Rattus norvegicus: one gene and its partners. The protein of the gene in region 3 purifies or fractionates together with the protein of the main gene of each other region. This does not show direct contact. Links are inferred from orthologs where the notes say so. Each region holds a gene or a part of one and is shown on either strand. Other genes may lie near its edges. The genes, in order: Orc3, Orc4 and Lrwd1.

Region 1 (3,648 bases), on a different chromosome or scaffold from region 3:
TAACTTTCAGGATGGTCATAATCATGATATTTGCCAAAAAACTAATTTCTGTCTTTCCTGAACCATTCCTTTTCACACCTCACCTGCTGACCAGTTTGAACTGCCTTCATTTAGAAACAACACCTTTCCTACTTTCCTTTCTACGCAGGGTCTCAACCAGTAGTGTGATGTAAAACCTAAGGTCATGTTAGCCTGGAATACCCAGTGATTTTTCTTGTCCTAGCCTCTCAAATGTTGGGGTTACAGGCATGAACCTCTATATATTTTTTTGTCTTTCTTTTTTTTTTTTTTCCGGGAGCTGGGGACAGAATCCAGGGCCCTGCGCTTGCTAGGTAAGTGCTCTACCACTGAGCTAAATCCCCAACCCCCGAACCTCTATATTTTGTACTGTTTTTAACTTGTTAAGTCCTTTTCTTTGGTATACTTAACCTTTTTCAAATCTGTAACATGGTTGGTTCATTTTATATACACACAAAAGCTGGCTTTTGGGAAAGACCTAGAATGATCTAGGGCTCATAAGCAAACTAGATAGGAGACTTTGACAGCTGCTGAATAGGTGCTGTGTAGATTTGGTACTGATACTTAGTTGTCCCGATAAACTATTTAGAACAAAACTAATAAAATGGCTAGTGTACAATGTCTGTTTCTACTACAGGCAGAAAATGGTTAGAATAATGCAAAATTGAGAAAATACTCTGAAACACATTTCCTCACCTGGCCTAATTGGCTAGATGAAGTTTAAACCTGCCTTCCTGAGCTGACAGTAAAAACTAAACTAAATCATTTGATTGGACAAGGACAGAAGATCAAGAAAAGTACTAACTCTGATCAGATGGCAGAAACACTTGGACTGGCTGTGGATAGCGAGTTTACTGGGGTCATGGAAGAACAGGATCACTTTTAGCTCCTCAGAGCGTTAGACTCACCTCACCAGGTTGTCGATGAAGTTTATAACATTTTCTCTGAGCATTTCAAACTTGGTTGGCTTCTTAGTTGTTCTCCTTAGCTCTTTCATTTCCAGTAAGGACTACAGGGCAGAGTGGGGAGTGGGTTAAAGTATGCCGTCTTTGACTTAGGAACAGAGTCACTCTGAGCTGTCACTAATGTGGAGTCAGCTGATGCCCTTTACTTAGAGTGCAGACAGAACCAGATCAAAATGTGCTTTATTTTCTGTTAAGAATCTGCCCCTCTGTTTTGCTTTAAACATAAGCCAAGTGAACGTTCACGGGAAGAAGTTTACCTCACTGCGCAGTTACACAGGAGTGTTCACTTGGAGCATGAGGAAGAGTGCGGGAGGATGCGGAAGAAAACCCCCATCCATCCCCACCCACCACAGCCTCGGCCACAGGAGCAGCAGGCGCAGAGTGCAGTTCCACCCAGACTGAAATTCTGTGGCACATTTTAACTGGGTGAAATGGAATAAGAAGGCTCCTCTGGCAATCAAGTGCTCTTTTACCCTATGAGTGTTGTTTAAAAAAAAGAAAAAGGCTGAGATTTGTAGTTTAGTGGTACAGCTCTAGCCAGTGGTGACACACCCTGGGTTTTCTTCTCAGCACTATTGGGGTGTGTGTGTGTGTGTGTGTGTCAAATTTTGACTTAGAGTCTCCTAACTCTGATCAAAAAGAGAAGTATACTATATTCATATTCTTTTTGTAACCCATGTTCCATTTCCCCTTTACAGTTAATTCTGTCTTCCTTAAGGCTTCAGAATTGTCTGTATTCTGTCAGGTAGACTGTAGACTGTGCATATATAATGTAGGAAGATAGTGAGACAAACAGAACTGTAGCACAGAAGGGAGTCTACCTGTAGGTGGAGATGGGCCACTGTCTTCTCCCTTGAGAATTAATTCAATGGAGGGCCTGGCTGGGAGGCTTCCCTAGTAAGGCTGGTTCATTTACCTTCTTCCAGAAGTTCAACATCTTATGTAATTAGTAAAAACCTCCATGAAGTTTGCCTGGGTTTGCAAGTCTTTCTGAGTACTGACTCAGGCACGGTTACTCCTTTTTCTTTCGCATGCTGGCCAATAAATGTCCTAATCCTCTGGGCTTCCACAGTCTCTACAGATACGCTCCCTGCCACAAGGCTGCCTGCTGCCACACCAGCCTATCCTCCTCTCGGCAGCTTCGACGGTTACTGCCTAGCTGCTTTGTTGGGGCGTGGGAGGGACTTTAAAATAAAGCAACAAAACCTAATGAATTGCTGTCCAGCTTGTTTGGGCACTTGGTTAATTTTTTCCATTGGTAAGAACAAGGACACAAAAGGGATTTTGATTACAGATGTCTCCAGTGTCTCCATAGGAGTGGCCTGAGAGTTCCTGTAATACTTCAGCCCCTTCCTGCGGCTTAGATGGCATCAGGATGTCTGAGTTACTAGCTTCAGTCTGCGGGCATTGCCTCGGGTTGCGATGTAAGATGAATGTGATGACATTCTAGCAGACCGATTCTAGAGCACCAGTTACCACAAGGGAACCACCCCCAGTGCGGCTGGAGGAAGAGAGACCCCTACCTTCTGAAGGTGGTACAGGTCCGTCTTCTGCAGCCCCTTTGGCTGTGAACCACAAGCATCCTCTTCCTCTTTGCTATCTGCTTTGGATGCAAAACCAATACACAGCAGAAAGGAGGCATTGGAAGTAGATACATGCTTCTTTAAACATGAGCAAGCCTGCCAGACAAGTGAACTCCCTCCAGAAGCTGAAGCCAACACACTGCATCGTTTATATGTAGTGAGGTCTTCACCAGTAGCTACCGAACTCTCAGACTGTTTCTAGCAAAAGCCTATATAAAAAATGGTACAGACTTGAAAGTATCTTCCTTTGACCTAAGATTTCAAGCACGATCAGCTACATTCTGATAGACCTGCGCTAACCTTCCACTATACTACTTTTGATTCATTCTGTTTAGTATAAAGAAGTGATATATAAAAGCTTCAAGGAAGATAAAGTGCTCACTGATATAAATGTATGGCTGTGCTTCAGGAGGATGTGATACTCTCTCTGACTGACTTGGGAACCTGACAATGGTTTGGTTCAAAAATAACATAAAAATTTAGCTAAAGAATATACACTATTCTTATAGAACCAGAAGATAATTCCTGATTTTAGAAAGTTTTAACCTAAGGTCAGGATAACTACTAGCTAAATTCTTTATTCCATTCAATTGCCATGTAACAGAACCGTAAAATTGATTATAACTCAGCCTAATTTAACCCTCTCCAATCTAATTCTAAATTAAAATACATCAGCAGTGTAAAGAGACCATAGGTGGCAAATAACCAAATATTTCTTCTTGTGAGAAATTTTAAATATACTTTGTTATTAATAACAATTTTTTTTAAACCAAGAAAATAAAGACAAAATTATAAGGATGGTGGTTTTGTTTTAATTCATAAAACATTCTATTCTTTATACTGTTGTCAAACATTTTAATTTTCAGCCATTCCATTTGAAAAGTGGCAATCCTTTAGTGCTAGTCTACCACAGGATTTGTTCATTAGGTCATGTTACATGAACTCCAATTAAAATTATGGTATCTGCAGTTTCTTTTTTTTATAGAATTCCTGAGACTATTTTATATTCTTCTATATCTTTGGCCTTATTTATGTCCTTAAGAGTGGCTTCTCTTTGGTGAAACTACAACTGTGAACTGATC
Region 2 (3,748 bases), on a different chromosome or scaffold from region 3:
CTTCTGTTTTACAAGACAATGATATACTGATACCAGAATCCAGAGGAACTCTAAACCATGACCAAGAATTCCACCTCCCCCTCCTCAGAGTAGAAAAGCAGACAAACCATAGGTAACAAAGTAGTTCTTAAAAAACAGTTCTCTTTAAATGCCCAAAAAAGGTGCCAAAAAGACAGAAATGCAGGACATTAATCAGAAGAAAGTGGCCAAGATATAGAAACATCTATGTCAATACTTATAGTTAAGAACACTGCTGTCCAACATAAATGTAAATTCTAATTTAACATTTCCTAGTATATTTAATAAAGCAAAACAAAGTAAAAGTAGTTAAAATTTTAACAAGCAAACATAGTGAGAAGCTGAGGTATTTTACACACTTTTAATATATAAAATGAAACAAAAACAACAACATCCTATAGTAAGTCATACAACATTTCAAGTGCCCAAAAGCCACATAGGGCTAGTGGCAGTTGTACTGTCTAGCACAAGTTGAAAACCTATGTCCTGGAGTTAAAGTTAAATATAAAATTCAAGAAACAATAACCACATATAAATTTAGAAAGCTCACATACTATCCAGAAAGAAAGTAATACTCCAAGAACAGACTATCTGCCATAATGCTACAAATGTTTATGGAAAACAGCAAAGTAGAAAAAAAATACACAAAAGACCTAAAAAGGATAAAAGACAATTTATGAATGAATCCAAATAGCCAGTCAGTTTCTGAAAACAGGCAATATCCTCAGTACAAAACTTTACTCAACACATTGCAAATTATACACTTATCAGATGGGCAAAATTAAAAGAAAATTGTTGGTGAGAAGGTACAAGCAAGGATCTATCACACCTGAGGTCGGGGTATAGAATGGCACACCAGTTTTAAAGTTTGGTGAAACTGTAGACAGCCATATACAACTCATAAAAATACACAGCTATGTTCATATGAAAAATTTTATTTAGATAATCAGATTGTTATGTAGTTATGTAGATCATTTATTAGCAAACAAAAAAAAACAAGTCAAAGTTCATTAAGACTAATTGTGGCTTAGTTAAAAAAAAAGGCGTTTTATACCTCAGAAACTCTTATACAACAACGAAAATATATAAATTACAGCAAAATATATCAACAGGGGCAACTCTCAGCTTTGTAAACAACGGCTTCCTGCATGCTCTGCCTTATTAGGATATGTGAACTACTACAAATAGATAAAAAGAGGCAAATTAATATTTGTTTAGAAATGCTGACACACATTTTTACTAAAAGAAAAGCAGTGAATCACAAGAATCAAGAAAATATTAAAGTAGCACAGGAGGAAGAACGGTCTGGAAGCTATTAGTGGGCCTGTGTTTGCCAGCTGCTACCCATGTTTTGGGTCTTGATTCATAGTGGTTACAGGTTATGTTACAGTTGTTTATTACATCTGTGTTTTGTGCACTTTTCCACACATTTAGGCCCTGACACCAAACAGGACTTAAAAGTTCTAACTAGGCCATAATAATTGGGCGCGTGTGCACGTGCGTGCGTGCGTGCGTGTGCGTGTGTGTCTGTGAGAGAGAGAGAGAGAGAGAGAGAGAGAGAGAGAGAGAGAGAGGTAATAGTTTTTTCAATAACAAGATTGAGATTTAACTGACTGAATCCTACGGAGCAGAACTAAAACAGTTAAGACTAAGAGTAAGTTCGAAGATCTTTTATTTAAAATTTTTTTAGGAAACTTAAATTATTAAAGACGAAGTAATTAATAATCCTCCAAAGTATCTAGACAAAAACCAACTAAAAGACTAATGAAGAAAGTGAAGGTGAAGAAAAAAAACGTTATTCACTATAAAAAAAAAAAGAAATACCCAGATAAAAAGCTTTCTTTTACACCACAAGAAAAGAAAATTTCAAGGTTTTTGTTTTTTAATGACAAAACTCAGTATGGAGGACCACACAATCTCAAGCATCCTCAAACGTGCAAGTCTTTTGTGTTTGCAGCATTAAGGCAGAGCATTCAGGGTGCTTTCACTCAAACCTTTCCTGCCCGTTCCTTGCCTACAGCTTCTGCAAACCCTCAAGGAATACAGAAAAGGAAGGAAGGCAGGATGTGAACATAGCCAATATGAGCAAAGTACCGTAGCAGCTGATCCAAAATTCACACATCTGGTTTGGTTTTTCCAAATAGGTCGCAAGCTCTAAAGCAGGTAGTGCTTTTCTCTGCAGAGAACCCGGTCTCTCGACACTGACCAATGATGTTCCTCACCTACAAGTCTTCTGTAACCGGTCTTTGCAGAATTCTGCACTGCTCAGGGTTTCGTCCACAGCATCTCCGGGAAACCAAGAGCCAGGCGCAGGCTGCCTGCTTTAGGCCTATTGGGCCTACAGAAGCCTCCCAGTCTCCTTAGACTGTTCACCCGCCAATGGCCACTACGGCCCTGACTTTGCCTAGGAGACCAGCCTTACCTCTCTCAATAAAGCCTGCCTAAATCGGGCAGCCTCCGCCGACTGTAAGGACCCAGGATTGTTCACCGCCTTCCCAGCTCTGTTTCACCTGCGGCAGCCAAGAACACACAGCAACTCCCAGCATGCACCGTGCTCGGCCGGCCTGCGGCCCCGCCCCGCCCCAACACGTGACCTCCTTTTGCCTCGGTCCACGCCTACTTCCGTCCCTCCACTTTCCCTAAGGAGGGAGGAGGCAGCTGGGGGTGTTAAAGAGTAGCAACTTCCTCCCTCTTCCCGCCCCCGCCCCTCTACCCCCTGCTACAATGTCTTCCGGGTCGACAGCGCCTTGGAGCCTTCTGGGAAAACATCTCATTTCCTCCCCTCCCCCTCCTCCTGCCTTCAACCAACCAGCCTCCCGTCAGAAAGGGACATGCGCAGTGAGTGCCTCCCGTCTCTTCTACCCGAGCCCCCCCTCCCCCCCAAGCAGAGAGACCCCAGCAGCAGCAGCAGCTGATGATGAAGAGAGAGGCAGTGGCAGAGGGGGGGCACCTTTTATTTCTATTTTTAAAGGGACAGGACACTAATTTTACCCCACTTCAACCTTGAATTGAGGGGGGTGGGGGGAAGACGGCTGAGTTCCTCCCCCACCCTCCAGCTCTGAGCCCTGAGTGGGGGATTGAGCCTGAGAGAGGAGAGGAGTTTCTTCTTCTTAGAAAACCCCCATCCACGACTCCTACCCCCTCAGCCCCTCTACTCGCCTGCTTCCAGAGCCCCCTCCACCCTCCTTCTCTTGGCCGTGAGAGAAGGAGAGAAAGAGACCAAAAGCCTCTTAGCAACACAGACCCTTTGCTGCTGCTGCTGCTGCTGCTACTGCTGCTGTTGCTGCTGCTGCTGCTGCTGCTTGGCCCTGGCTGGAGACATCTCCCTACACCGGGAGCAGCCACTTCCCCAGCTCTCCTCCTCCTCCTTTGCCTCCTCCTCCTCCACTCCCCCCCTTTATTACCCTTTGTGTCATCCTCCACAGCTCCAGGGAAGGCACTCAAAAGTGGGGGGCAGGAAAGGTAAGTGTGTCTGCGGGGGCTCCATTGCCTTCCTCTGGCTCTGACTTTCACTCCGGGGCAGCAGTAGCACCAAACCTCATACGCAGTGGAGCTCCGGGGTGAGGAGGGGGTGGTGCTGGGGGGTGAGTGAAGGAGGGGCCGGAGTGAGGAGGGGTGTGTGAGGTGGGGTGTCCACCCTGTCAGGGAAGGAAGGACACTTTTATTTTTATTTGCTGTTGTCAAAAGTGGTTTCTCCAGCTAACATCTGATTGTGTCTTGCTTCAGTGGG
Region 3 (3,748 bases):
GCCCATTTCCGTGGAAGGTGTTAGCCAAGGTCAACAGAGGGCTAAAAGGAAAACATTTTAACATCCTTCCCGGCCTACCCATCTCCTGACCCTATTACTACCTTGTAAGACAGATTTGTTTTTGTTTTTCAAGACCGGCTTTCCTGGAACTCCCTATGTAGATCAGGCAGGCCTGGAACTCACAGAGATCCGCCTGCCTCTGGATGCATCACCACTAGCCGGCTGTAAAGCTGATTCTTATAGGTTTGTTTTCCCCCGAAAAAAAATTTCCCCCAAACCAAAGTCTGTGCTGTCTTAAGTCGCTCACTCCCTGCCTGTCTTTCTTCTCTGGCTTTCATCAGAATTTCCAATACAAACAGCCAATCCCTACCATTTCCATGCGGACTCCTTTGTGCTCCCGAAGCACAAAGACTTCCAGGTATTAACTCCAAGTTATTTGCTACTGCCCCCCAGCAAAGTCATAGAGGTGATGTGTTACGGCTGCTTCCCTACTTCCAAGGCAACTCTTAAACCTGCTGTGTGGCTGAGGTTGGCTTCAACTTCTGACTTTCCTGCCTCTCGGCCTTTCAAATGCAGGGATCTCGTCGTGCATCAGCATTTCCCCGCCCTTCCCTCCATCAGTTGATGACACTTGGGAAGCCTCCACCTTTTGGGTTTTGTGAATATTGAACATAATAAGCGCTTCAACCAACTCCTTTACCGCGAGGTTTTGATCCCTTGGCCTCAGTTTCCCATTAAGATGAATAGATTTCCTGGGTATGACTTTTCCCAGTTCGTACCTGAAGGGAGATCTGCCAGGGCGGGTCCCTCTGGAGTCGTCTCTCGCAGATGAGACAGGTCCGGATACCTTTACAGCCGCACTCCTGCAAATGAGAAACTTCAGCCGCTACAGCCGCCATTGCACCCTCGGAGCAGCTAGGGCGCAGGCGCAAGGCACCGGGGCCTCTGGGAGTTGTAGTCCTCGCACGCAGAAGCAGGGGTTAGGGAGTACGGCTGGCGTTCTGCTTCCTTCCGGTCCCCTGGACTCTCAAAGGGTTTGTTGTGCGCCACCTCCTGGGCTCCCCAGCATCCGGCCTTAGTGACCAGACTTCGTGGAGGCGTGGGTTCGGTTGAGCCCTCGACCACCCATGGCTCCTCTCACGCCGCAGCTGCTCCTGCAACGTGGGCGACCCAAGACCGACAGGCTGGGGAAGATTCAGAGTCTGAAGTAAGAGCAGACGGGGTTGAAGCGGATCGGAGGCGTGGAGTTCTTTCCCGCCCCGGTGGTTTAGTGGGCGGAATGCAAGACTCAGACTCCTCTCTCCCCTCCTTCTGTCCCGGTTATTCTGTTATCTGGGGTTCGGGCCCTAGTCGAATCTCTATCTCGCGCCTAACGGAGATGCGGGAGATTAGCAGCCACATCCCGGCGTCCAGTGAACCTGGAGCGAACGCCTTTAGCCTTGCGTAGAGTGGAAAGATTGTTGAGCTGTTGAAGAATCCTGCTCGGAAGGGGCCAGCAGGACCGAGTAAAAGCAATCAAGGAACTTGGAAACCTCGGGTTCTAAAGTCGTTATGTGATCTGGTATTCGACGGCCGGGCGCAAGACTAACGTCATGCGTTGGCAGCTAGCCTGGGCTGTGGTATGAGACCCTGTCTCAAAAGGAAAAAAAAAAAAAAACTCTTCTTTTTAAAATTTCGAGACAGGATTTGTCTGTGTAAAAGCCCTGGTTGTCCTGAAACTGGCTTTGAAGACCAGGCTGGCCTCGAACTCACAGCGATTCCCCTGCCTCTGCCTCTTAAGTGCTGGGATTAAAGGCTTGTACCACCATGCCCAGCAATAAAGGATTCTTTAAGGGAGGGAAGGCGGGCCACAGAAATGATCCAGCAAGTAAAGGTGCCTGTCACCAAGCCTGAGTTCAGTCCCTTGGACCCAGACAGTGGAAAGAGAGAACCCCACTGGAAACCTGACCTACTTACTCACACTTTAGACTGTGCCCATTCACACACACACACACACACACACACACACACACACACACACACACAGAGAGAGAGAGAGAGAGAGAGACACAGACACTCTATAGTAAATAGAAACGTAATTTAGAAAGCGAGAAGGCTAGAATTGTTAGCACAGTTCAGTGGTACATTGCTTACTAGACATGCACAAAGCCTGAGTGTCCAAAGGGTTCCATCCCTACCAACGCCTGAACGGCTCCCAAGGGGTGGCACATGCCTGTCCTTCTAGCACGTGGGTAGAGGCAGGAGACTAAGTTCAAGGCTTTCCTGGACTACACAATGAACGTTTTGAGGCCAGCCTAGTCTACATAGTTCAGGATAGCCAAGTCTGAAAAAAATAAATAAATAAGCCCATACTTGCACAAGAACTTTCTTGGTGGAAATTCCTCTGGGACAGAAGGGGTGATGATCAGTGGGAGGGTCTGGCCCTCCCCCTGAGCTCTCTCGATCTCTGCTCTCATCCCAGTCTGTCAGGGCTGGAGCTGCTCTCAGAACACTTGGATCCCAATCTCCTGGGACGCCTGAAGAAGCTGAAGGAACTTGACCTCTCTAACAACTTGCTGGAAACATTGCCTGCTAACCTAGGCCTGTCCCATCTGCGAATCCTTCGCTGTACCAACAACCAGCTAGGGGACGTCACCACCTTGCACCAGTTCCCGGAACTTGAGGAGCTCAGTCTGGAAGGCAACCCTTTCCTGACGGTGAGAGGAGGGAGGGTTCTATCAGCAGGATGCTTAGGACCAGGATTCTGTGAGGCAGACACAGACTTCACTCTTTCTTTTATTTGGTTTCGAGACAGGGTCTCATGTAGCACAAGCTGGTTTCAAATTAACTGTGGATCCATGAATAGCCTGGAGCTCCTGATCCTCCTGCCTCCTGAGTTTTGACCATGTTCCACCAAGGCACGGTTTATGCAATGCTAGGAATCAGACTTGGGGCCTCGCGCTTGCTAGGCAAAGCAGTCTGAGCAACATGCCCACCCCATTTGGGTTTTTGTTGTTTTGTTTGTTTGAGGCAAAGAATCTTGCTTTGTAACCTAGACCAGCATCAAACTTCCGAACGTTGAGATTAATGGCATTGGTCATTACTCCTGGCTTTCCCTTCTCTCCTTCTGTTAGGTCAGTGACAACCTCAAAGTCTCCTTTCTCCTGCCCAAGCTGCGTAAGGTCAATGGCAAGGACACGGCCTCCACCTGCTCACAGGTAGAGAGCCTAGATCGGGAGCTGACCAACAGGGTAAGGATGATGAGGTGGGGGTAGGGTCCTTGGTCATATCAGTTGGGTATTGAGGGGGACAGAAGTAGATTTTTGGAGGTGTGTGACAGAGATCCTGGCCCAGACAGCCTCAAGTCTGAAGTGTTGAGTCTGGTTTTTTTTTTCTTCCTGTTTGGAGACCCTGTCTCGAAGGTCTCCAGCAAGCACAGCAGGACACCAGGGAGGCTAGACTCTGCAGTGAGCTATTTTTTTGGACACAGGGTCTTGCTTATGTAGCCCAGATGTCCCAGGATTCCTCTGCCTCAGTCTCCCAAGTTTGTCATCACCACCATGCCCAGTTGAACCAAACTGGTTTCAAGTCACGTGACTTCAGTTTAGGCTGGTAGCAAAATAAGAGGTCTTGCCCACAGAAGTTTCTAGAAGGTGGCGTAGTCATTATACTGTGTGGTCAGGAGGAAATAGGGTGGAGGTACTGTGTGTAGCCAGAAGACCCAGGCCGCACTGGGCCTCTTCTGGTCCCTCTTACGGCAGGTCACAGC

The links.
Region 1: the proteins of Lrwd1 (region 3) and Orc3 purify together in Homo sapiens (affinity purification with mass spectrometry; 4 studies listed by BioGRID and IntAct, with this or other methods). This does not show direct contact. The link is inferred for Rattus norvegicus from reciprocal best matches to the Homo sapiens genes LRWD1 and ORC3.
Region 2: the proteins of Lrwd1 (region 3) and Orc4 purify together in Homo sapiens (affinity purification with mass spectrometry; 3 studies listed by BioGRID and IntAct, with this or other methods). This does not show direct contact. The link is inferred for Rattus norvegicus from reciprocal best matches to the Homo sapiens genes LRWD1 and ORC4.

The regions. Positions count from the first base shown.
Region 1 is NC_086023.1:53,929,267-53,932,914, forward strand, and holds part of Orc3 (origin recognition complex subunit 3), read right to left. Parts: intron 2,776-3,648; exon of another isoform or gene 2,587-2,775; coding exon 2,507-2,586; intron 1,028-2,506; coding exon 927-1,027; intron 1-926. UniProt on the Homo sapiens protein: Component of the origin recognition complex (ORC) that binds origins of replication. DNA-binding is ATP-dependent. The specific DNA sequences that define origins of replication have not been identified yet.
Region 2 is NC_086021.1:53,739,723-53,743,470, forward strand, and holds the start of Orc4 (origin recognition complex subunit 4), read right to left. Parts: upstream 2,543-3,748; 5' UTR 2,441-2,542; intron 2,407-2,440; exon of another isoform or gene 2,241-2,406; intron 1-2,240. UniProt on the Homo sapiens protein: Component of the origin recognition complex (ORC) that binds origins of replication. DNA-binding is ATP-dependent. The specific DNA sequences that define origins of replication have not been identified yet.
Region 3 is NC_086030.1:26,165,640-26,169,387, forward strand, and holds the start of Lrwd1 (leucine-rich repeat and WD repeat-containing protein 1), read left to right. Parts: upstream 1-1,008; 5' UTR 1,009-1,127; coding exon 1,128-1,207; intron 1,208-2,461; coding exon 2,462-2,696; intron 2,697-3,113; coding exon 3,114-3,230; intron 3,231-3,740; coding exon 3,741-3,748. Other genes in the region: Alkbh4 (alpha-ketoglutarate-dependent dioxygenase alkB homolog 4), read right to left, coding at 780-899. UniProt on the Homo sapiens protein: Required for G1/S transition. Recruits and stabilizes the origin recognition complex (ORC) onto chromatin during G1 to establish pre-replication complex (preRC) and to heterochromatic sites in post-replicated cells.